4 linked regions of the Callithrix jacchus genome follow. The protein of the gene in region 4 interacts with the protein of the main gene of each other region in a pairwise test. Links are inferred from orthologs where the notes say so. Each region holds a gene or a part of one and is shown on either strand. Other genes may lie near its edges. The genes, in order: MAL2, AGTRAP, RTN3 and PTPN9.

The links.
Region 1: the proteins of PTPN9 (region 4) and MAL2 interact in binary tests that used the Homo sapiens proteins (3 or more experiments, as listed by UniProt). The two-hybrid records come from large-scale screens. The link is inferred for Callithrix jacchus from reciprocal best matches to the Homo sapiens genes PTPN9 and MAL2.
Region 2: the proteins of PTPN9 (region 4) and AGTRAP interact in binary tests that used the Homo sapiens proteins (3 or more experiments, as listed by UniProt). The two-hybrid records come from large-scale screens. The link is inferred for Callithrix jacchus from reciprocal best matches to the Homo sapiens genes PTPN9 and AGTRAP.
Region 3: the proteins of PTPN9 (region 4) and RTN3 interact in binary tests that used the Homo sapiens proteins (3 or more experiments, as listed by UniProt). The two-hybrid records come from large-scale screens. The link is inferred for Callithrix jacchus from reciprocal best matches to the Homo sapiens genes PTPN9 and RTN3.

The regions. Positions count from the first base shown.
Region 1 is NC_133517.1:78,167,016-78,172,565, forward strand, and holds part of MAL2 (protein MAL2), read right to left. Parts: intron 3,797-5,550; coding exon 3,641-3,796; intron 1,682-3,640; coding exon 1,654-1,681; intron 1,060-1,653; coding exon 926-1,059; 3' UTR 1-925. UniProt on the Homo sapiens protein: Member of the machinery of polarized transport. Required for the indirect transcytotic route at the step of the egress of the transcytosing cargo from perinuclear endosomes in order for it to travel to the apical surface via a raft-dependent pathway.
Region 2 is NC_133508.1:49,631,897-49,637,716, reverse strand, and holds part of AGTRAP (type-1 angiotensin II receptor-associated protein), read right to left. Parts: intron 4,103-5,820; coding exon 3,997-4,102; intron 2,850-3,996; coding exon 2,654-2,849; intron 1,252-2,653; coding exon 1,136-1,251; 3' UTR 1-1,135. UniProt on the Homo sapiens protein: Appears to be a negative regulator of type-1 angiotensin II receptor-mediated signaling by regulating receptor internalization as well as mechanism of receptor desensitization such as phosphorylation.
Region 3 is NC_133511.1:120,766,493-120,772,312, reverse strand, and holds part of RTN3 (reticulon-3), read right to left. Parts: intron 2,718-5,820; coding exon 372-2,717; intron 1-371. UniProt on the Homo sapiens protein: May be involved in membrane trafficking in the early secretory pathway. Inhibits BACE1 activity and amyloid precursor protein processing. May induce caspase-8 cascade and apoptosis.
Region 4 is NC_133509.1:22,389,465-22,394,760, reverse strand, and holds the end of PTPN9 (tyrosine-protein phosphatase non-receptor type 9), read right to left. Parts: coding exon 5,217-5,296; intron 4,520-5,216; coding exon 4,312-4,519; intron 3,524-4,311; coding exon 3,309-3,523; 3' UTR 1,656-3,308; downstream 1-1,655. UniProt on the Homo sapiens protein: Protein-tyrosine phosphatase that could participate in the transfer of hydrophobic ligands or in functions of the Golgi apparatus.

The sequences.
Region 1 (5,550 bases), on a different chromosome or scaffold from region 4:
ACAAATATGGGTCTATTCATGCACAGGGAAAACAACTGTATTCTGAAGCATAAATAAATTACAAGACAGACATGAGTAGCTAGATAGCAGTTCCAGTAGTGATTAATGGTCTCTGGGGATCCCATTTTAAAGACTCTCAGATGAGAATCTTGCTCAGTTGTTAGATCATTAGTTTGATTAAGCAACTCAAGTTTACTTCATAAATTACTTTTTCCTATATTCAGGACTCTGCCTGAGACAGTTTGAGAAACTATACGCCCCTCCAAAGGTAAGCATTTGACTATTAACACAAAGGCAATGTGATTATTGCAATAATGAGGCTAAGTATTATGTGGCTTGTCTAGTTAGGTTTATACGTTTTCATGATGGGTTGTTTTACACCAGTTTGTCGATAAACATTAGCCCACAAGGTTAAACCCAGACTCCCCTTGTTTTTATAAAGTTTCTTTAGAACATAACCACACTCATTCATTTCTGTATTGTCAATAGCTGCTTTCATGCTACAACAGCAGAAATGAATAGTTGTGACAGACTGTATGGCCCATGAAGCACAACTATTTGCCATCTGGCCCATTCTCAAAGTGTACCGTTTCCTGTTTCACGCTAAAATATGGAGGTCAGTGGGAACATTGAAATGTGTTTTTAGAAAGTTAAAATTAAGGTTCAGGTGACTCAGCAACCAGACAAAAGGTATACTAATTTTTTATGAACCATATGTTTGTATTTTATGGACATAAAAGGAAACTTTCAGAAAAGAAAAAAGGAAGGGAAGAAGGGGAGAAATATAAAAGGCCATTTTTTTTTAACTTCATAAGAAAATTAACATTCCATCCATGAAATAAACCAAAACTTGAGCTTAGAGTCTCTCCCTCCTAAGCAAACTACTTTTGGAATGTTTTTACATCTGGACAAAATGGTAACCAAATTAATCAGAAATATAAAGTAGACAAATGAAACTAACACACGACTGCCAGTTTCTAAGGAGTGTTACGGTCTCCATCTTCGTAAAGCCAGACCCAAACTGCAACCATAACAAGCTGTCGTCATAAAGGCAAAAATCTAAGAAAAAAGAAACAAAAATTCACATCAGATTTACAACACTGATTTAAACACAGTGTCCTAAAGAACAGCCATATGAAGATTGAACAATCTCCTAAAGACACTTAGAAAATATTTTATATTGATTTTTTTTGATGACTTGTACAACTGTTTTATTCCCTCATACAATTACCCCCCAATTCCTTTAAATATTTTAGCCCTATTAATTTTCTCATTTATAGATAACTTTACATTGAACGTTTGTTCACATGCTGGGCTCACTTATTAAGTATCTGTGAACCCCCAGGCACCATATTTAAAAATTCATCATGAAGTTCTATACATGTAGTGGTTTCACAGCCAAGAAAACCAGCAACCCTCGGAACCTGAGGATGCATCAAATAATTTCCATGACAATGGAAAGTAACTTTAAAAGTCAACAAAGACAAGTGGAAATGAATGATCAGGTTGGCTTTCTCTCGTATGGGAGACAGTCCTATGCACAAATGTGCACTCTACTGTGTTCTTAGAATTTAATGAGAATTTCTTCAACACCAACTGTGTGTATATTACTACATTTGGTACATATAAGCAAAGAGTAGATAATGTCCTCACCCTTTTGGGGTTTATGATCCATAGAAGACTAAAAGACAAAGCAAAAGCAGTTCAACATGATAAATATTATGGTTTAGCACAAGGGTTCTTAACGAGGAAACTATAGCTCTGGGAAGCAATACTGGATTCACCTATAGATCATTTTCACAGTTTAATTGCTTTTCTGCTATTCTTTCCACCCTTCTTCTGCTGATTGATTCTCTGACAATTTCTAATCTAGACATTGTTTTCTAAATGACAGCAATAGCTTTTGATACATGTATTAGGGAAAAGGAATTTGCCTCCCAATCTGATGTCCCATGGATGGGACATTTCAAAGCTAAAACCATGACTCTTTGTTGTAATCCCACCTTCAGCCTAATTCATTGTAGGCACTCAATAAATTTTGACAAATCCTATCAGAGACTTGGGAAACTTATAATGGGTCTTGAAATCATTTGTCTTCTACACCTCAAAATTCAGACTCTAGAATGGTATTTATTGTCTGATAGCCACTAGCCACATGTGGTTAAAATAATACTAAAACTTCAGTTCCTTCATCATGCTGGTGTGCAGAGGTGTGCTCCCGGCTCACTACAACCTCCGCCTCCTGCGCTAAAGAGATTTTCTTACCTCAGCCTCCCAAACAGGTAGCACTGCAGGCACAAGCCACCAGGCCTGGCCAATTCTTGATTCTTTTTTTTCCCCACTTTGAGAGACAGGGTCTTGCTATGTTGACCAGGCTGCTCCAGAAATCCTGGCCTCAAGCAGTCCCCTTCCACCTCGGTCTACCAAAGTGCTGGGATCACAGGCATGAGCCATGACTCTTTGGCTTACTTTTCAATTGCTCAACAGCCACATGAGCCTAGTGGCCAACATATTGGACAGCACTTACAAAAAAAGAAAGTTCTACTAGACAGTGCTGCTCCAGACAGATTTCAATGCCTATATGGGGAGTACTGGGTTATTTACAGGCTACCTGGGAAACATAATAAAACATTAGGGTCACTAATTTGCCATATATTTATATTAAATATCACACTATTTCAGAAAATTTGGACTTCTAGCATCTTAAAAGTGATCTTTAACAACAAAAATAATACATTAGTTCTTCAAATTATTATCTATACAATACAAAATGACAAATTCACTCCAGTATGTGAATTAAAGATGATTTAAAAATTTATAAATGCCCCAAGGAATGCATTTCATCTGCCTACCATCTACTGCAATGGCTGGCATAGTTGCCTCCCTTCCTCACCTGCACTTCCCTGAATGGCAACAACTGCAGCTTATCCACCCCATCCTCAACAGCCAGCAAAATTACTTGATATATGGTAGGCCCACAGTATCTATTCATTGAATAAAATTAACGTGCAAACAGCTATTGAATACTAAAGAACCAAACTGGGAAATATCCCTTACCATGTCTGAAAGTTATAAGAAGCAAAAACACAGTTCTTTTTGCAGACCCCTCAAAACTCAGACTCCAGACCTTTATTGTCTAATATGATAGCCACTAGTCACATGTGGTTAAAATTATTAAAATAATATTAAAAATACAGTTCCTTAGTCATACTGGTTACTCCCCATTCCCCCCCATCCCTCGACCGAGTCTTGGTCTGTCACTCAGACTGGAGTGCAGTGGTGTGGTCTCAGCTCACTGCAACCTCCGCCTCCTTGGGCTCAGGAGATTTTCTCACCTTAGCCTCCCAAACAGGTGGCACTACAGGCACAACACACCAGGCCTAGCCAATTCTTAATGAGAGACGGTGGCTTGCTGTGGTCTTATGTGAACATCAACCTCTTTATGCTTCAGTTTAATCACCTGCAACCCTGTGAGCAAAGTGATCATGGCACTTTGCTCACAGGGTTACTGTACAGATAACAGCTATGATATATTTAACATTAACGGCTAGTATTAAAGAGTACTGTTGCCTGAAGAGTTTCTTGGAGGCCTTGACAGTGGAGCGGAAGTGCTGGTGAACAGTACTCATTGAGTACTTACTGTGGCTGCTACATTTATGTTATACTGGTTATCACTCAGGAGCGGCTGCAGGGTCATGGTTGTATTGCAATGCAAATCGTGCAGGGATGTGGCTGCTGCTTCCAATAAAAAGGCTCCAAAATAGAAGACAAACACTGTGAAATGGTAGGCAAAATCCTAAAAGAGGAGAGAAAAGACATCTGCAATTAATAAGACATTTTCCATTCTGTATTTCAAATGAAGGCTAGGTTTAGCAAGATCAAAACATTTAATTAAACCATCTTAATTACCTTCTCTGTGTATCTTGGCCTGACGTTTCTATAGCAACTATTAGAATCCAAGTGAAAATCAACCCATTTTAACTGGCACATTGGTAAATTGGCAAACCTTTCCATAGACTGAATTTTATAATTATATAATATTTTAATTTGGATTAAGATGCCCATAGAGATCAATGTTAATTAGGATAATATAAAAAAGCCATACATATGCTGTCTTTAAAATTCAAGTAAAGTAGCATTTAAATAACATTATTATATGTATTCATATAAATTATATAAACTATTTTTGACCAGTTATTATCATTAGAGATTTTCCATTGAAAATACAGAAGACTAATTAAATATATAATTCAATAACATATATCCATGTTTGTTTCATTAAAAACTAACATGTTATATACTTCCACAAGAAGTATAAGACCTCATTTGTTAGGCTTCTTTGTTGCTGACATTCAGCGAAGCATTAACACTGTTATAGTTCATGTGGTCTTACCTGAATTAATGTATCAACACATTACTGTTTGTAACAGTTCCCACATATCAGATACCTTATGTGCATTATTGCTCAACCTTATAACCACCATTAATTATCTCCATTAAATAAATAATTTCTTTTCAGTTAAATGACTGTTTAAAGCCATGTAAATATTAATTTTAGGAGGGAGAAAAACCTGTAGTGTGTCTGGTCCCAAAGTTCAGTTTATTTTTTTTAAATTATTTTACTTGACAAAAATCATATTTATTGTATACATGTTTTGAAATATTTATACATTGTGGGATGGCTAAATAAAGCATATACATATATCTTCCCATAATTCTTTTTTTTGTGGTGAGAACATTTAAAATATATTCTTTTAGCATTTTTCAAGAATATAATACACTGTTACTAACTATAGTCATCATGCTACACAATAGATCTCTTGAACTTATTTCTCCTAACTGAAATTTGTATCCTTTGACCAACATTTTCCACAGTCCCCCATCAGCTCATCCCTTGGGAATCACCATTCTACTGTCTACTTCTGTAAATTCAGCTTAAGATCATGTGGTCTTTCTGTGCCTGGCTTACTTTACATAACATAAGGTTCATGTATATTGCAAATGACAGGATTTCCTTCTTTTTAAAGGCTGAATTAGTATTGCAAAATATATACTGGATTTTCTTTATCCATTCATCTGCAGATAGATCCTCAGGTTTGAATTTGTATCTTGGCTGTTATCAATAATGCTGTAATGAATATGAGAATGTAGAAATCTCACTGATTTTATTTCCTTCAGATATATACCCGGGTGTGGGATTGCTAGATCATATGGTAGTTCTATTTTTAACTTTTTGAGGAACTTCCACACCGTTCTCCATAATGACTGTACTAATTTACGTTCCTACCAACAGTGTGCAAGGGTTCCCTTTGAAGTCCACTTTCTTTCCTATCAAACCTATTATTGATTTCTATTAGTGGCATAGCAATATTACAAAGGAGAGCATTGTACTGCCTTTGTAAATGCCATACAGCAAATGATACTGTTTACAGGAATTGTTCTCATATCTAAAATACTCTGCTAGGACAAATTTAACCAACCATGGGTTAAAAACTACAAAGGTGTGCTTTCTATTAAATAACTCTCATTTGTAAACTGATTCACAAATGC
Region 2 (5,820 bases), on a different chromosome or scaffold from region 4:
GATGGCCTGGGAAAGCCCTGGCACTTGGCGCCCAGGGGGCAGAAGAGCAAGCTGTGGAGAGCCAGACCTGTCAGTGGGGAAGGCCTGGGCCCTGGGGAGCTTCTGGATGAGTCAGCCCAAGTCAGCTGTGACCAGACACAGGGGCTGCCAGGAAGAGTTCCCCCTCTGCTGCCTAACCCAGCATCATCACTGGTGTGAGGAGCAAGTCCACTAACAACTTCGCCATCACTTAGGGAGCCCTCCTCACACCAGACACTTTACACCTGGAGCAGGCACCCACCCTTTCTAGAAGACACTGAAGGCACGCAACTAGTAAGTGGCAGAGCAGGATTCAAACCAGTGCTTGGGTCATCTGGTTCAGAGAAATGGATGCCACGCACCACACCCAGCAGTGTCTCTCTGCTGTGGCCTCTGCTAGGCCAGAGTCAGGCAGAAGCCCAGCTCAGCCAACAAACATGCCCATTTCCTCCTGCCACAACAGAATGGGGTGGCCCAGCGCAGGCTCCACCTGGGAATTGGCAGGAGAAATCTTCCCAGGAACAAGGCCAGGCCCCACCCCAGCCAGGAGACTGAAAGTGGCTCAAAACACAGCCCATCTACAGAACTCCCCAAACTTTAATGCTGTGGCTCCAAAAAGGGAGGCTGGAGGCTGTGGTGGGTCAGTGTTGCTGATGCCTCTGGCCTCCAGCCCTGTATCGCTAGGCACCACATGACCAGGCAGTGAGAAGCACAGGACCTCACTCCCATGCCAGACTGCTCCTGGGCTGAGCAGACCTGAAGCTCTAGGGCTTCCCCCAAAGCCCAACAAACAGACATCACCAGGACTTAAAGGCCTGAGCCTGCCACAGTCATGCAGGACTCAGCTGGGGGCCTGTGTGGTGCCTTGATGGAGTAGGAGGTGAAGAAAGATTTTCATTCCAACCCGGGAACCAGCGGGTGCCCTGAAGGGAGGGAGGCCTCAGGGAGTTTGAGACAGGAGTGTGTGTACTGGGTGGCCCATGGGGGCTCCTGGTCTCTCAAGGCACTTGGTTCAGGTAACCCGTGGGCTGGAGACACATTCCATCTTAGGTCCCAGAGATAGAGGTCAGGAGCATCCCTAGAACCTGGGGTGGGGCTGGAGGCAGCGTGGCTGGCTTCAGTACCCTCGGGCATCTTGACCCCTGCCCTCTGGGACTGCAAAGGGATCTGCGGGTGCCTCTGGTGAATCAATCGTCTGGTAGGCACTACGGTCCTGAGAAGATCCAAGGAAACCTGGGTGGCAGGGGACATGATGGGAAAGAAAAGTGAATGGGGAGACCTCAAGACATTCTGCTGAGTCCAAGGCAAGATCTACCCCTGCCACCCTGGGGCCAGGCATCCTGACACCACCACAGAGACAGAGGCAGCAGCCCCAGGCACTAAGCTTTTAGCGTGTATCATTCATTCAATCCTCCCGTACTCCTTGCAGCAGGTATCATCCCCACTTTACAGATGAGGAAACAGTGGGTCAAAGAGATGAACTGACTTGCTGAGATCACACAGCTCGAAGCGATGATGCTGCGACCCACGCCTAGGCAGCCAAGCCCAAAGCCAGGCTCCAGGCCACTGTGCCATGGGGTGGTTCCTCAGGCAGCAAGTGCTCAGGAACCTGGGCAGAGGGACACCAGCCCCGGGCCCACACACTCCTCTCCAGCTCCCCTCTCAGGCAGAAGGACACCACATTACTGTATCCAGATGGCCTTGGAGGCTGGGGCTGAGTCCAAGGCAGGACTGTAGCTCCAAACACCCCACACTCCTCACTCTCATCCCCTCCTCTGCACATTCATCCTGAGACCTTGAGCACGTCCCAAGGGCTGTGGGCCTCAGTTTCCTCATCTGTCCAATGGGAGATACATTCTGGCACCCCTTCCCTGGGGGCAGCCCCAGGCCATTCTTACCCTCGACCAGCTGGTGGCAGTCACAGGCCACCTGAGGCCTCTCTTCTCAGGAGTGAAAGGTAGAAGGCCACACCCCACAACCTCCCTCCACTCCTCTCAAAGAGAAAGGAGAGACAGAGGTGTCAGAGAGCAGGCAAACAGCTCGGCCACCAGCAGAAGGGGTACAGGAAAGGGCATGGGAGAGGGCGGGGTGAGGGTGAGGATGGGCGAGTGGGGAGGGATTGGTGGGTACGGGGAGTGCCCACAGTTCAGGGCCGTCTTCGCTGAGGCTCACACAGCCTACGCTAGAGCAGGCTCTCCTTTGGCTACCTAGCACAATCTCTGCCGCAGGAGAGGAAAGACCCCACGTGGCAGGAAATGGGGTTCCAGTGTTGGGGCCCGGTGAGAACAGAGAGGAGACCTGTAGGTGCCGGTGGCCCTCATGCTGGAGATAGCCCAGGGCTGCCCCTGGGAACTAAATGGTACCCCCAGCTGTGCCTGTGCTCTAGGCTGAGAGAAGGGCCTAGCCTTAGCCTCACAGCAGGAGAAGGTCGCAGCGGACCAGGACAGTCAGGGGACCCCTGGGCTCCTGCAGCAGAGACCAGGAGCTTGGACTCCTCCAGCCTGGTACAGAGTGCCCATGCCATGCTCTTCCTGCTGGCCCCATGGGGTAAGGCCAGCTCACTGGGGGAGAGCCTGGGGGCCAGGCAAGGGAGAGAAGGGAGTGGTGGGGAGCTGGCCAGAGGTGGTGGCCTCACCAGTGTGGACCAGGAGCTCACCCCCGCGCTCCCGGTACATGTGGTAGATGAAGCAGCAGGAGAGCGGCTTGAGCAGCAAGCTGAGGATGGCCATGCCCGCGCCGAAGCGGCCCGTGTCCGTGAGGTTTCCCCGCGGATAGAAGATGCTGATGTGTACGATGTCCAGGAAGATGGTGGCCAGCAAGCCACACAGAAACTGCAAGACACAGGCACTGATGAGCACAAGAGCCCTGCCGTGTCCCGTGGCTCCCCACCATGTACCAGATGCGAAGCTGTTTCATGCCCTACTGTGTCCTTGGGGCTTGCTGGAAAACTGAGCAAGCAAGCAGGCAGGACTCACAGGGGAGCGGCTGGCTGAGACTGCAGTCTAGGGGCAGGGACGCAGGGGGCTCAGGTCTCGGTTCCACAGAGCCTCCCTCCCTACCCATTTTCGATCACCTCTAAGACCATGATGGGCACAAGACTGGGCTCTAGAACCTCCATAAAGGAAGGTTCCTTGTTCACCCAGTCTGTCTCCAACACGAAGAAAATCCCTTCTCAGGGCCAGGCACGGTGGCTCATGCCTGTAATCCCAGCACTTTGGGAGGCTAAGGCAGGTAGATCATGAGGTCAGGAGTTCGAGACCAGCCTGGCCAATAAGGTGAAACCCTATCTCTACTAAAAATCCAAAAAATTAGCCGCACATGATGGCACATGCCTGTAGTCCCAGCTGCTTGGGAGGCTGAGGCAGGAGAATCACTGAACCTGGAAGGCAAAGGTTGTAGTGAGCTGAGATCGCACCACTGCAATCTAGCCTGGGCGACAGAGCAAGACTGTCTCAGAACAAAAAAAAAAAGAAAAAGGAAATCCCTTCTCACTCCTCAGTCACCCCGAGCCCTGGCCAAGGCTTGAAGAGCCGGTGCAGGGGGTGCACGCTGCCCCACGGGGCTTGGTGGGTGCTAAGAAGCTTCCCCTGTGGGAAGTTTCGGTCGGCCTGGGTCACCTCTCCTTCCTAAAGTAGTGGCGTGCCCCCTTGGCTGGGTCTCCATGTCCTCTCCCCTAAAAGAGAGCCCCAGAGGCAGGTTATAGGGAATGCTCCATTGCTCTTGCAGAGAAGCCAATCTGGGGCACCCCTTGGCTTTCCTGGGGGAGATAATGGCAGACCTGGGCTTCTCTAAGCCAGGCAAGAAGAGTAGCATGCTCGCTCCCAAAGACAGGCATGGGCTGACACCCGGGAGGCTGAAGAAAAAGGCTTTAGACAACAGGCAGTGGTGGCCCCAGGAAGAGAAGGAAGATTGGGATGGGACAGGGAGGCAGAGCCAGGCCGTGTGTCGCCCTGTGCTTCGGCCCCCGCCCTGGCTCACCATGCTTATGGCGTCGATGGAGTCCCGCTGAGCCACAGCCCACACGCCCAAGGCCAGGATGGTGAAGTTGGCCCAGGCATAGGAGCCCGAGAACACGATGCAGCCCCTGTCAAAGAAGCAGCTTAGTCCCATCAGGTGGCCACCAACCCGCAGGTCACCTCCCTCCTGTGCCAGGGGTCTCAGGGCCTCCTCCCAGAACAGACCTTAGTCTTTGAGGCCACCTGGCTATGTGCCAGCAAATCCCATGGGCTCGCCTCCCACCCAGACCCTGGATCTGGCTGTGTCCCTGCAGGTCCCAAGCACCTCCGTCTCCTGCCAGATGACAGCCTCCTGACTGCCACTCTGTTCTCTAAATAGCAACTGGTAGTGTAGTCAGATGCTGTCAATCCTCTGCTAAAAATCCTCCAACAGTTTTCCATCCCATTTGGAATAAAATGCAGACTCTTCACCAGGGCTTAAGGGGCCCGTGGGACCCCGGGCCCAGCCCCGCCCTCCCTGACCTCCCAGCCACAGCCCCGTACAGTGGGCGCCCTCTACTCTGACACTTGGCCCCCCTTTTGTCATTGAGCAGCAGCTTGAATGTTCACTCTGAGACTCCTTCCCTCACCCACCAATGCTAAGTACGACCTCGTCACTTTCCTAACACAAGGCCCACCCTATTCTACCATTTAGGGTATTGCCTAACTGACATTGTTGATTTGTTCACTTGTCAATCCAATCAAAATCATAGTGAACACAGAGCACTTGCTAGTACCTGGCATGGTTCTAACTATTATTTATTTATTTTTGACGGAGTTTCGCTCTGTCAGCCAGGCTGGAGTGCAGTGGCAAAATCTTGGCTCACTACAACGTTGCTCTGCCTCCTGGGTTCAAGCGATTCTTCTGCCTCAGCCTCCTGAGTAGCGAGGATTAGAGGCGTACACCTCCACGCCAGCTAATTGTTGTATTTTTAATAGGAGACGGGGTTTCACCATCTTGGCCAGGATGGTCTCGAACTTCTGACCTCGTGATCCACCCGCCTTCGGCCTCCCAAAGTGCTGGGATTACAGGCGTAAGCCACTGTGCCCGGCTGGTTCTTACTGCTTTAAATTAACTCATTTATGTGCATTTATGTTAACAACCCTAGGCAGGAAGTATTGTTATCCTATTATAGATGAGGAAACTGAGGCACAGAGTGGTTAAGTAACTTGCCCAAGCTCACACAGCTGCTGAGCGGTGAGGCTGGAATTTGGAGTCTGGCTGGAGAGGCCATGCTCTTGTCACCCTGCTGTGCTGCAAAGAAGACCCAGAAGGACCAGGACTGAGTCTACCTCGTTTATTACCAAACCCACTGGGACTTGCCTGCCCCTGCATGCAGCGACCACTTCCTAGATTTATATGACATTCACTGAAGGGCAGCATGAAGAAGACATGTGCAAGGCAGGTTTTTAGTGTCAATGGATTCAATAGGTCTTCGAATAAACCATCTTATCTTTTGCTTTTAAGAAAGCAGGTTCACATGCTAGACTGTAGGAAAAGATTTAAAAAAAACAGAAAAAAAGCAAGCAAGCAGGTGCTGTCAGGCATGGTAGCTCATGCCTGTAATTCCACCACTGTGGGAGGCCGAGGTGGGTGGATCATTTGAGGTCAGGTGTTCCAGACCAGCCTGGCCAACATGGTGAAACCCTGTCTGTACTAAAAATACACAAATTAGTTAAGCATGGTGGCACATGCCTGTAGTCCCAGCTACTCAGTAGGCTCAGGCAGGAGAATCACTTGAACCCAGGAGGCAGAGGCTGCAGTGAGCCGAGATTGTGCCACTACACTCCAGCCTGGGCAACAGAG
Region 3 (5,820 bases), on a different chromosome or scaffold from region 4:
TTAGAAATAAGCTTTGTAAATAAGTAAGAACCTGATGATATTAGGTTCTCACCTAATATCACCCTAGGGCCAACCTATAAGAAAAGACATACCTTGAAATATAACTGGAGCATAGAAAAAAATTTTAGGGGAAGATTAATTTTACAAAGTGGTCTACTGCTTTGGGAAATACTGGTATTAAGGAAACCAAATCAAACAATCATTATTAAAAAAAAAGAGAGAGAGAAGAAGAATCTGCCTTTCCCATCATACAGTATATTATATTCTAGCCATAATCTGTAGGTATAAATCGGCCTCTAACATAAATGGCATGCTGATAAATAATCAATCACAGAATTAACCACATGCAGTATTCTGATGTGAATAGTTACCTGAGAAGTCTGTCAGAAGTCTTGCTAGGACATGCTTTTTTACTAATTCAGTCTTGCTAAGGCTGGAAACAGCATCTACCCTAGTGGTTTCTCTGATAGCAGTGGGCTTTTGGGAAATCCCAAGATCAGATCCATTCTTGACATTATGTTCTAGGATGTCACATGATCTCTGTGGCCAAGATTCTGGAGCGAATGTGAAAGTTTGTTTCAGCACTTCTTCAGAAGGCAATTCTGTGTCATGCTGTACAGAAGCTGACTTCTCAACCTGTCTTTCACCTAATTCTTTAAGAGCCTTGATTGTGAGCTGTTCTTGTTCTAAGTCAAGGGATGCTACTGGAGTACCTTGGGTGGGGAAAACACCTAGAGGTTCACTTCCATTTGTTTCTTTGCTTTGTTCACTGTATTTGCTTCCAATGTCTTTAATTTCAGAACCACCAGGCTCATTTTCACGTAAGACTTTTTCTACAGGAAGAGCTGTTTTAAAGTCTGTGGTCTTCTCTGATCCTGCCTTAAAGGCATTTCCTTCACTAGCTACTATTCCTTTCTCTCTGGTTTCTGTAAAGGCTGCTACTAGGTCCTCTGGGGAGGAATCATCTATATGTTTAACATTTTTCCCATCTAATGACTCTAAATAGGCAGATGTTGTCATATTTAATGAGAATTCTGTCTCATTAGAAACATCTGGAGACACTGAAGGAAGTTTGGGGTTCTGAGTAGTAATAGGCTTTTCAGGCACAACTTCACTCACTTTATCTGACTGCTTCACATCTACAGAGATATTCATATTGGGTACTTTTGAACATGCTGCCTCACCAGCTGGACTCCTTTCAAGAGTATCAGGCCAATCTTGATGTAGTTCAGAAGCACTGACCAACTCCTCAAAGTTTTTAGATGTTTCTTCTTCTCTCTTACAACTGGGAGTCTCTTTGATTTCTCTTTCACCTGTTTTTACAATAGCACTTCGAATGGAAACAGGTTTTTCAGCCTGAATTTTGTTATTTTCAAATGATGAATCTGCTGTGATGTCCTCTATTACAGTGTCATCAGACTCACCGGAACTATCGGCCTCTGTGATTTCTCCCAATGCAGAGCTCTGCCAGTTCATTTCATCTTTCAGGTGGTCATCAGATAAAACCATTTTCACTGTGGCCACTCCAGAACCCAAAGAGTCACATTTCTCAGGTGTAGTCCCGGGTAATTCTGCAAGTATGTCATCCTGTTTCTGCGTATTGCCTTGTACACCTCTGATACTGAATTCTTTTGCGGAACTGAGAGGATCTGCTATAGGTTTTCCAGTGATAGCATTTTCTTGTGGGAGAGATGCTTCTGCCCAATCACCTGTTGATTTAGTGACGGGAGTGCTCCCATTAACAGAACATACAGGAATTTTCTGATGAGTGTTAGTTTTAAGATTTACAACTGGAATTTCTGAATTATATTCACTCATGACAAGTCCTGTAGTTTTTGTGATGCAGTCACAGGATTTATCGGTCTGTTGTTTCACTTGGGGAACCAAATCCCAAGTCAGTATTTCATTAGTGAAGTTATGCATATCATTCACACATCTAGACACCTCTTCCAGTGCTGCATTTGTCTGTGAAAACTGTCTACTGAGCAATGCAGACATTGGGTAACGTCCTGCCTCTTTATTTCTCAGTGGAAAAAGCTTGTCATTAGTCTCTGAAATGTCTTCGGATGATTCTCTATCAGTGTGCATAGAGCAGCTACCAAAATCATCTGTGCTCTCCTTATATGAGTCTTTAAATTCTTTATCAAATGCTGCTTTGTCAATAATTACTTCAAATGGTGATTCAGGGGAATCCTTTTCAATAACACCATCTCCTGAAACTTTGGATGGGGACAAAGAATATGTATAAATGCCTTCTACCTTAGAGTACTCAGTAGGTGGTTTCTGGGCTGTTAGCAAAGTGAATCTGTCATCAGCATCCAATGCAGTTTTAGCTTCCCTACTTGATACCTCATTTGGGTTCTTGGTCTCTTTATCTATTTGCTCTTCCACTAGACCAATTTTCTTTGAGAGAAAAGCAGGATGCTCTGGGAAACTGGCTGGAATAGAAGGACGGTCATAATGAACTCCTGCTGCAAGAGAAACTGAAGAGTCTGATACGTTGTTGCTGGTCCCCTGGGGCTTTTCCATTTTTTTCGTATCTTTTAGATCCAAGTGGTCTTTTCCTTCATTGGCTAAAATAGGCTGGCTCCCTAACACTTTGCTTTTTTCTCCATGTAGTATTGTAAGGCCAGTATTATGTATTTCAGAAGATAAAAGAAAGGAAGAAGTCATAATTTCTGAAGATGGCTCACTGGAGCAAAGAGAGCTCAATACCTCTATGATCAGAATTTCAAAGAAAAAAATTGTTTACCAGGTACAATTACACATTAGCTAGCCAAGCCAAGCAGCATGCTTTTTAATTTTAAAATTACATAAATATGTATATACACACACAGGATGTATATATACACACATAAATACGTAACAAAACAATCAAGTCATCCTACAGGACATGCATAAAACTGCCAACAGCAAAACAGAAAAGCCATTTCATGCTGGGAACTGCAAATGACAAAAAATTTTCATGACAAATACTTTTTGGTCTACTTTTCCACTGTAAAGAGAAAGCATAACGAAGGGCGATAAAATTGAGAAATCTAGGGAGGTTTTTATTATTCTGGTAGAGCTAATCAACCAAAGCAAAATAATCCATACAAAACAAGTAACTTGACACTATGATGCACTGATAGACTTCAATCTGTAAACTGAACAATTCAGAGCACACACTGCTTCTATAAATCCAATGTTACAGTCTCACAATCTGAGAAGGAAAAAAATAAGTGGCCAGATTTCTTTTTGATTTTTAGGAGATACAACAGATGCTTCCTGAGCCTGAAATGAGACAAGAATTATTGAATTCTATCCACAGGAAGAATTTGTCCCATGTATAAATAAATAGCCGTGATGTTCTAAACTAAAGGGTACTGAAAAAGGTTGACCTACTTCAAAATCTCTCTCTCTTTTTTTTACATGGAGTCTTGTTCTTGTCGGCCAGGCTGGAGTGCAATGGCGCAATATAGGCTCACTGCAACCTCCACCTCCCAGGTTCAAGGGATTCTCCTGCCTCAGTCTCCTGAGTAGCTGGGATTACAAGCGCCTGCCACCATGCCTGGCTACTTTTTTGTATTTTTAGTAGACATGGGGTTTCAGCATTTTGGTCAGGCTGGTCTTGAACTCCCAATCTTAAGTGATCCACCCCACTCAGCCTCCCAAAGTGTTGGGTTTACAGGCATGAGCCACCACGCCCACCTAGCCCCTCCAAAATCTCTTGTACCAACTTGTCATTTAAATCAATATTGTACCATGCAAATTGACACTTCGGTTAAGACAGAGTTAACTCGGCTGGGCACAGTGGCTCACCTGAGGTCAGGAGTTCAAGACCAGCCTGACCAAAATGCTGAAACCCCGTCTCTACTAAATATACAAAAAATTAGCTGGGTGTGGTGGTGGGCGCCTGTAATCCCAGCTACTCAGGAGGCTAAGGCAGGAGAATCACTTGAACCCAGGAGGCCACGCCATTGCACTCCAGCCTGGGTAACAAGAGCAAAACCCCAACTCAAAAAACAAACGAACAAACAAAAAAAAAACCAGTTAACTCCAGAATTACTTTTAAAATAGAAAATATCCTTTTCAAAGTAATACATTAAGTCTTATCAGTAATTAATACCAAATACCACAGTAGCCATCAATCTACCACACTGTTTCCTAACTTCCCACTCTAACAAGTTATTAGGGAAAAGGATAAAAACAAACATCCCAAGGGCTGGTGCTTTCTTATTTTCTTTATTTATCTGTTTGTTTTTGAGACAGGGTCTTCCTCTGTCCCCCAGACTGGAGTGTAAATGGTGCAATCGTGAACAGCCTTGACCTCCTGGCTTCAAGCTCTCCTCCCACCTCAGCCTACCAAGTAGCAGGGACCACAGGCACTTGCCACCACACCTGGCTAATTTTTAAACTTTCTGCAAACATGGGGTCTTGCTGTGTTGCCAGGCTGGTCTCAAACTACTGGGCTCAAGCAATCTGACCAACTTGGCCTCCTAAAGTGCTGGGATTATAGGCACGAGCCACCTCGCCCAGCCCTGGATGTTGTCTTTCTTGCATACTCTTGTATCTGCAGCTGGAACAAAGTGGGTCTTAAATAGCCCCAAATAAGTGAATCAAAGATTTTGCTTGGTCAGCTGAGACCTAAGTAGGCTCAGGACAGCAATGTCTTGAGCATGAATGAGTAACTGGGAAAATGTCACAGATAAATTCTTTTGGGATTACTTTTATTCAGCTTATGTTCCCTTTTTCATGTAAACACCCAAATATCAGATAAAAGCAAAATTATGACTTTATTCCAAATTATTAAAGACAAAAATATTTTACAATAAATCAAATTCTGCTATTATAAAAATGTTTTGAAATGCCATATGAAGTTCCCCTACTTCAACACATCACTGAAATTTGATGTAATAAGAGTTGAACTTTAGAAATAGTATAACTGTAATCTGGTTAGTAAAACAAAAAGTCTTTGTACATTGAAGAAAAACGGTTAAACCTTGGTGGCAAAGCTATATTACCAGAACAAAACACTTGAAGTAAACTTTAACTCATATGTAGTTCTAATTTAGTAAACATGGTTTGCATCTACCATTCTATAGAATGAATATTCTGCATGACTAGATTAGGGCATAATAGAAATGAAGCCCAGCATTGCAGGTTAAAAAGTTCAAAAGCCTGAAGTGTAAAGTACTATAGATTACATTTAAATCAGAAATATTCCACAGTCTGAGCCATGCATTGTTACTGAACTTACTAGTCAGTATTTCTACCAGAAAATATTCAGGGAACTAAGGTTATGATAAAACTGTTTGGGAACCTCTCTCTTCAAACAACTCTGAGGTGCGTCAAACTGACTCCACATCACAGGGAAGTTCAGCTTATATGGTTTGTGTTTTCTCTTTTGGAGACACAGTCTCGTTCTGTTGCCCAGGCTGGAGTGTGGTGGTACAATCTCAGTTCACTGAAGCCTCTGTCTCCTGGGTTCAAGCTATTCCCCTGCCTCAGCCTCCTGAGTAGCTGGGATTACAGGTGTGTACTACCACACCTGTTTTTTTTTTTTTGAGACAGAGTCTTACTCTGTCTCTCAGGCTGGAGTGAAGTGGTGCAATCTCAGCTCACTGCAACCTTCACCTCCTGGGTTCAAGTGATTCTCCTGCCTCAGCCTCCCAAGTAGCTGGGATTACAGGCGCCCGCCACCACACCTGGCTTATTTCTGTATTTTTACTAGAGACAGGGTTTTGCCATGTTGTCCAGGCTAGTCTCAAACTCCCGAGCTCATGCAATCTGCCTGCCTCAGCCTCCCAAAGTGCTAGAATTATAGGCATGAGCTACTGT
Region 4 (5,296 bases):
ACCCTGACTTGTCATATTCTGACTTGACATATTCTGGGTTCCCTATTTGCCTTCCTTTTCCTTTACCTCCTCCTGTAACCCCTAACACAGGTAGGATTGCAGTGGTAAAAGCTACAAACAACAGCAGTGGAAGGAGACGTATTGAACCGTTTCTGAGTTTTACTGAAAATTCGGGAGACATCAATTTGCTACCTCTACAGAGTCAGAAACATGAACTAAATTTGTGGTTCCCAAACCTGGATCATCCTGTCACTCACTAACCACCTACTGGGTGGACCTAGGAATTGGCATTTTATGGAGATCACTTGATCACCTCACAGATCTTTCAGATATGCAATGAGGAACTCATGCATAACCTTAAATTCACAGGGCAGTTGGGTTACAACCTCTTCAAATAAATGACAATTTAAAGTTACTTCTGCCAGGCCTTTTATCATAAACCCCACTTCTTACATATTCCATCAAACCCCTAACCTCTCTGGTCTCTCAAATTTCCAAGAATCTGTTCACTTCTTATGTTTGTGTACTCCCAAGAGAATGGAGGCTTATCTGGAAAAAGAACTAGATTAATCTTCTGTTCTACCCTTGAGCTCCCAATTATGGTAAGAAACTCAAGAAAAATTTATTGGCAGATCAGAAGATGGATCATTAGAGGAAGTCTAGTGTAAGAGTTCAAAGAAGGTACTTTGGAGTCAGATGGATCCTGGCTGTAGCAAATTAATATTCCTGTGTCTCAGTTTTTTTCTATGAATACCTACCTCAAAAGGTTGTTGAAGGTGAATGAGACGATACCTAGAAATTACTCTGAACAGTGCCTAGAATAGAGTGAGCATCCAGTAAACTGTCTGCTGTGACTATTATTCAGAACACCCCAGTATTTCCCAGCCACAACTGCCCCTTCCCCAGCCAACAGGGATGATATGGGGAGTGGTCTTCCATGGACAAAGCTTCCAGTTCCATTCTTTTGCAGAGAGAAATGCAAATGACTCAAGATCTTCTCACAAAGACAGTGTACCCAGATATATGGAGTTTCCTGGAGAGAATGATGACCACTTTGGTACTCTGCAGACATGAGGACCCTACATCAGGAGGTCCCAGTTAGGACAGTCAGTTACCAACCCTGTCACCCTTCCAGTTTACTACATGAAGCATGAGCTCAACAACAACTACCTGGAATTTAAGAACTATTTATACTCTGAAAGGAGAGCTAAACAAATCTCTGTTCTCCAAAGACAACGCAGTGAAGAGACCACAGGCTTTGTAAGCAGACTACCTTGAGTTCATTTTAGAGCAAATCACTGTAACCCTCTGGACCTCACCTTCCTCATCTATATAGAAATGAGAAAGGGATGCACAGGAGAAGGGAGAGAGGATAATATCTCACTGAACTGTTGTGAGGTGTGAATGAGGCACTGGGGCAAAAGCACCTAGCACAGTGCTTAGTCTATCTCAAGCACTGAACTGGTGCTGGTCCCTCTGTCCAGAGATAGGGCTGTGGACTACAGACAAGGTGAACTCAAAGAGTCAGAACTCAGAGTCTCAGATACTGAAGACTTGGGTCCCTCCCTGCCTCCCTCATCCCTCCCAGACCAGTTCTTGGACCCCCTCCCTCAAGTTCCCAGTCCCAGGCTGCTAAATTGATGAAGCTAAAAGGGTTTCGATCATGTCGGTATATTTATATGTAAATACAAAACTGTATCACTGTAAGATATTGAATATGAACATTACAATTATTTTCTGAATCTGACTCAGTCCATTGATATTAAATACAAAATGAAATGATTGTAAAAAATAAGAATATACACATTCAAAGAGCTTATTACAATATAAAATTATTGAGGTCTGATCAGTTGCCAACCTCATCTTCTGTGACAGGGGAAGGTTTAGGAATTCCTGTGATTTTCTTGGGAATGTAGAGTACTGGGGACTCTTAATCATCCCTAGCACATAAGGATGAGTGGGCTGGGAGCAGGCAGGGATCAGGTTGGGTAGGTAGGGGACAAACAGTGATTGCAGGGGACCTCCTCACCCAGCCAGGGGGTAAAGCTTTTTATTGACACAAAACCCACCCAGTTTGAGGGTCTAGCAGACTAGCGGGCATCTCAGTAGACAGGGCCAAGCTGCATAAAGGAACCATCCAGCCAAAAAAAAAAAAAAAAAAGGGCCCCAGCTAATCCTTCCAGGGAGGTATTTTCTTAGTAGATTTTTCTCTCGCACACTTGGGCTCCCCTCCTTCCTTCTAAGACTTCGTACCGATTGCTTTTGGCTCCGGCTGCTCTGAGTTCATCTCTACCCTCCGCCTCCCATCCCTGGGATAGTGAAAGCAAAGAGAGAGTATGGAATCACAGTAGAGGTCTGTTCCCCAAATTGGCCAAATAAGCAGAGAAAAATCATCAGATAAGGAAAATGCATGCAGAGTTAACCCAGTGTCACCACAAACTAATATTCTTGGCTCCAACAGGTAGCAACTGGAGGGGGATTAAGTAATTACTTAAGGATGAGGCCCTGTGGCAGGAACACAGAGGAGATGTGTGTGTGTCCTCTTCCACCACTCTGTAGCCTGACAACAGGAGACATGACCACCAACTCAAGTAGTCCAGGATAAATAGTAGGGTCCAAGAAGCAAGGAGTCCTGAACTGCAACACAAAGCCCCAGGAACTTCTACAAAGGAGTATCTGTGTGTATATATATTTATAGAATACGATATTATCACATACAATATATATTATATACACACATACATATGGACCCATACACTTAAGTGCATACACACACACACACACACACACACACACACACAGAATGACAGAAAGGACTGGAATACACGCCCTACTTATAAACGTGCTTGGCACTCAGGACGATCTCTAGAATATGTAACTTGGTCAAGCTCTCTGGGGAGAAAGGCAAATGCTCATCAAACCTCCCCATAAAATCCTAGCAAACGGAAGGAGTGGGAGACAGGAGACCTCCAGAAAGAGAATGGTGGGAGAAAGGGGGAGGGATGTTCCTTCCCCACTTACCTCGGGGACCCTGGAAAAAATCAATAGCCACAATTTGGTTTTAATAAGGCACAGTTTGATAGCAGGTGCTAGGAATTAAGAACACATTGCTGCTGGCCCTTTCTAGTGGCAACTTCACCACATTTATCTAGCCAAAGGGAAAGGCTGCCTTGCGTGCACATGTGCCGGGAGACACGAGAAAGAAGTTGATCCATGGCTTCAGCGTAACTGATGGCAACCTATAGGCTCAGCGGTGTCCAGGGTAGTTTAAGGAAGGCTGGCCAGCAGGTAGGAGGTTCGTGGAAGAGTTACTGACCCTCCATGGCCAGAAGGTTTTGGCCAGAGGATACCATGCCCTCCTTCTCTGCGAACTCCAGGATGGCCTTGTAGCAAAAATAGTACTGCTCAGGGGTCTGGATGCTGAAGGCCCTCTGGGTCCTCATGCGTGACACCGTCTGGAACACATTAAGGGTGCCAAGCTCCTCCAGCTGTGCCAGGCAGATGTCCAGTGAGCAGAAGGTACCTGAAGAAGGAAGGAAGTGATCACATCTGGTTTACCTCTCATCTCTTCTTCCCTCTATCAAATAACCCAGGCAGAATTGAATGAATGAATTCAAAGGCAAACTGCCTCATGGCAGAAGGTCAGATGGCCTTAGGCCTGAAAGGACTCAAGGAGAAGGTCATGGGGCGTGTTGGAGGCCAGAAGGCCTCTTACCTCTCAGGACACACATTGGGGCAACAGAAGTGGAAACGGGAGGGTGATACAGGGTAACTTCCTGCTTCAATCCCAGACAGACAGACTGACAGCACTCCCACACCTAATTTCCAGAGTCCATAAGTTTCTCAGAGGCCTAACGCAAACCTATTCCCAACTTTCTCCCAAAGGGACCTTTAAGCTAGAAAGGCCCACACTTCCTGCCATGTACATCCCCTTAAGGCAAAAGCTGCTAACTTGCTCCAGAATGGAGAACACAGCACAGGGTGGGGAGTTCCTCCAGGGAGGGCTAGATGGGAAGGAAGCAGCCCAGCTGAGCTCTCTGCAGTGACAGTGCTAACAAGGTAACAGGGTCAGCGTTATGATGGGGGTGAATAAAACATCAACCCCTAGAGGACTTGGCTTATGAAATATATATTCTGGCCATCTCTTAGTCCACCAAAAGGACATTAAAAGAGGGATTTTTTCACAGCAATTCACCATCAAGGGAGCAAAAGACTTCCCTCTCCAATCACAGATGTGGGCTAAGAGCTTTGTTATTCCTCCTCCACCCCGACTGCCTCTGCAGACACCAAGAGCTGCATTAGGTACATTACCTGTCCTGCCAATGCCTGCACTGCAATGGACCACAATGGGTGGCTCAGGGCACTGCCCTTTGGAGCGTGCTCCCATGTTGCTCACAGCCAGACTCTGCTGGTTTCTGACCACTCTCAAGAAGTCAATGAGGGAAGCTGCTGAGGAAGGGACACCGTAGTCTGGCCAGCTCAAGAACTGGAAGTGGGTCACCTGCCGTTTCTGCCGCTCCTTAAATGAGAAAAGCAAAAGTGAACAAGGTCATTTCTGCCTTCCCCTAGCTACCTCTAGCTTTTCCAGATTCTTAACACCCTGGTTATCCCTACCACCAAGACTGCTATCCACCACTATCAACTTTTCTCATAATTGCTTCTTTTACTACAGACCCAAAGGAAGGATCAGTTAATTGTTTGGAAAAGGCAGAATTCCTATACTGTACGACCCCAGTTGTTTTTTTTTTTTTTTTTTTTGGAGACAGGATCTCACTCTGTCACACAGGCTGGAGTGCAGTGGCACAATCAAACCTACTGCTGCCTTGACCTCACAGGCATGTGCCACCATGCCCAGCTAATTTGTTCTATGTTTTGTAGAGACGGGATCTCACTGTGTTGCCTAGGTTGTCTTGAACTCCTGGGCTCAAGTGATCCCTCTGCCTTGGCCTCCCAGAGTGCTGGGATTACAAGCATAAGCCATTGCACCCAGCCCCAGATTTCTTAAATTCTAAGTTTTATACCTATTTGATGCTCCTATTGTGCTGTAGTAATATAGCTATATTGGCTGTGAGTTAAATATCCTCATCCTGACCCCAGAAAAACAGAAGCAACTCATAACCTCCCTGGTATCCTATTTATTCCCTCTGGAGATTTTCTTTACAGTAATTATTCTCCCCCTGTTTCAACAAGGTGAGAAAAAAGAAACCTGGATTTACCTCTGTGTTGTGAATTTCTAGCGTTGTTTTCTTATAATGATTCATGTTCTCCACGCCTAGATTGGTCACTGTGAGGAAGC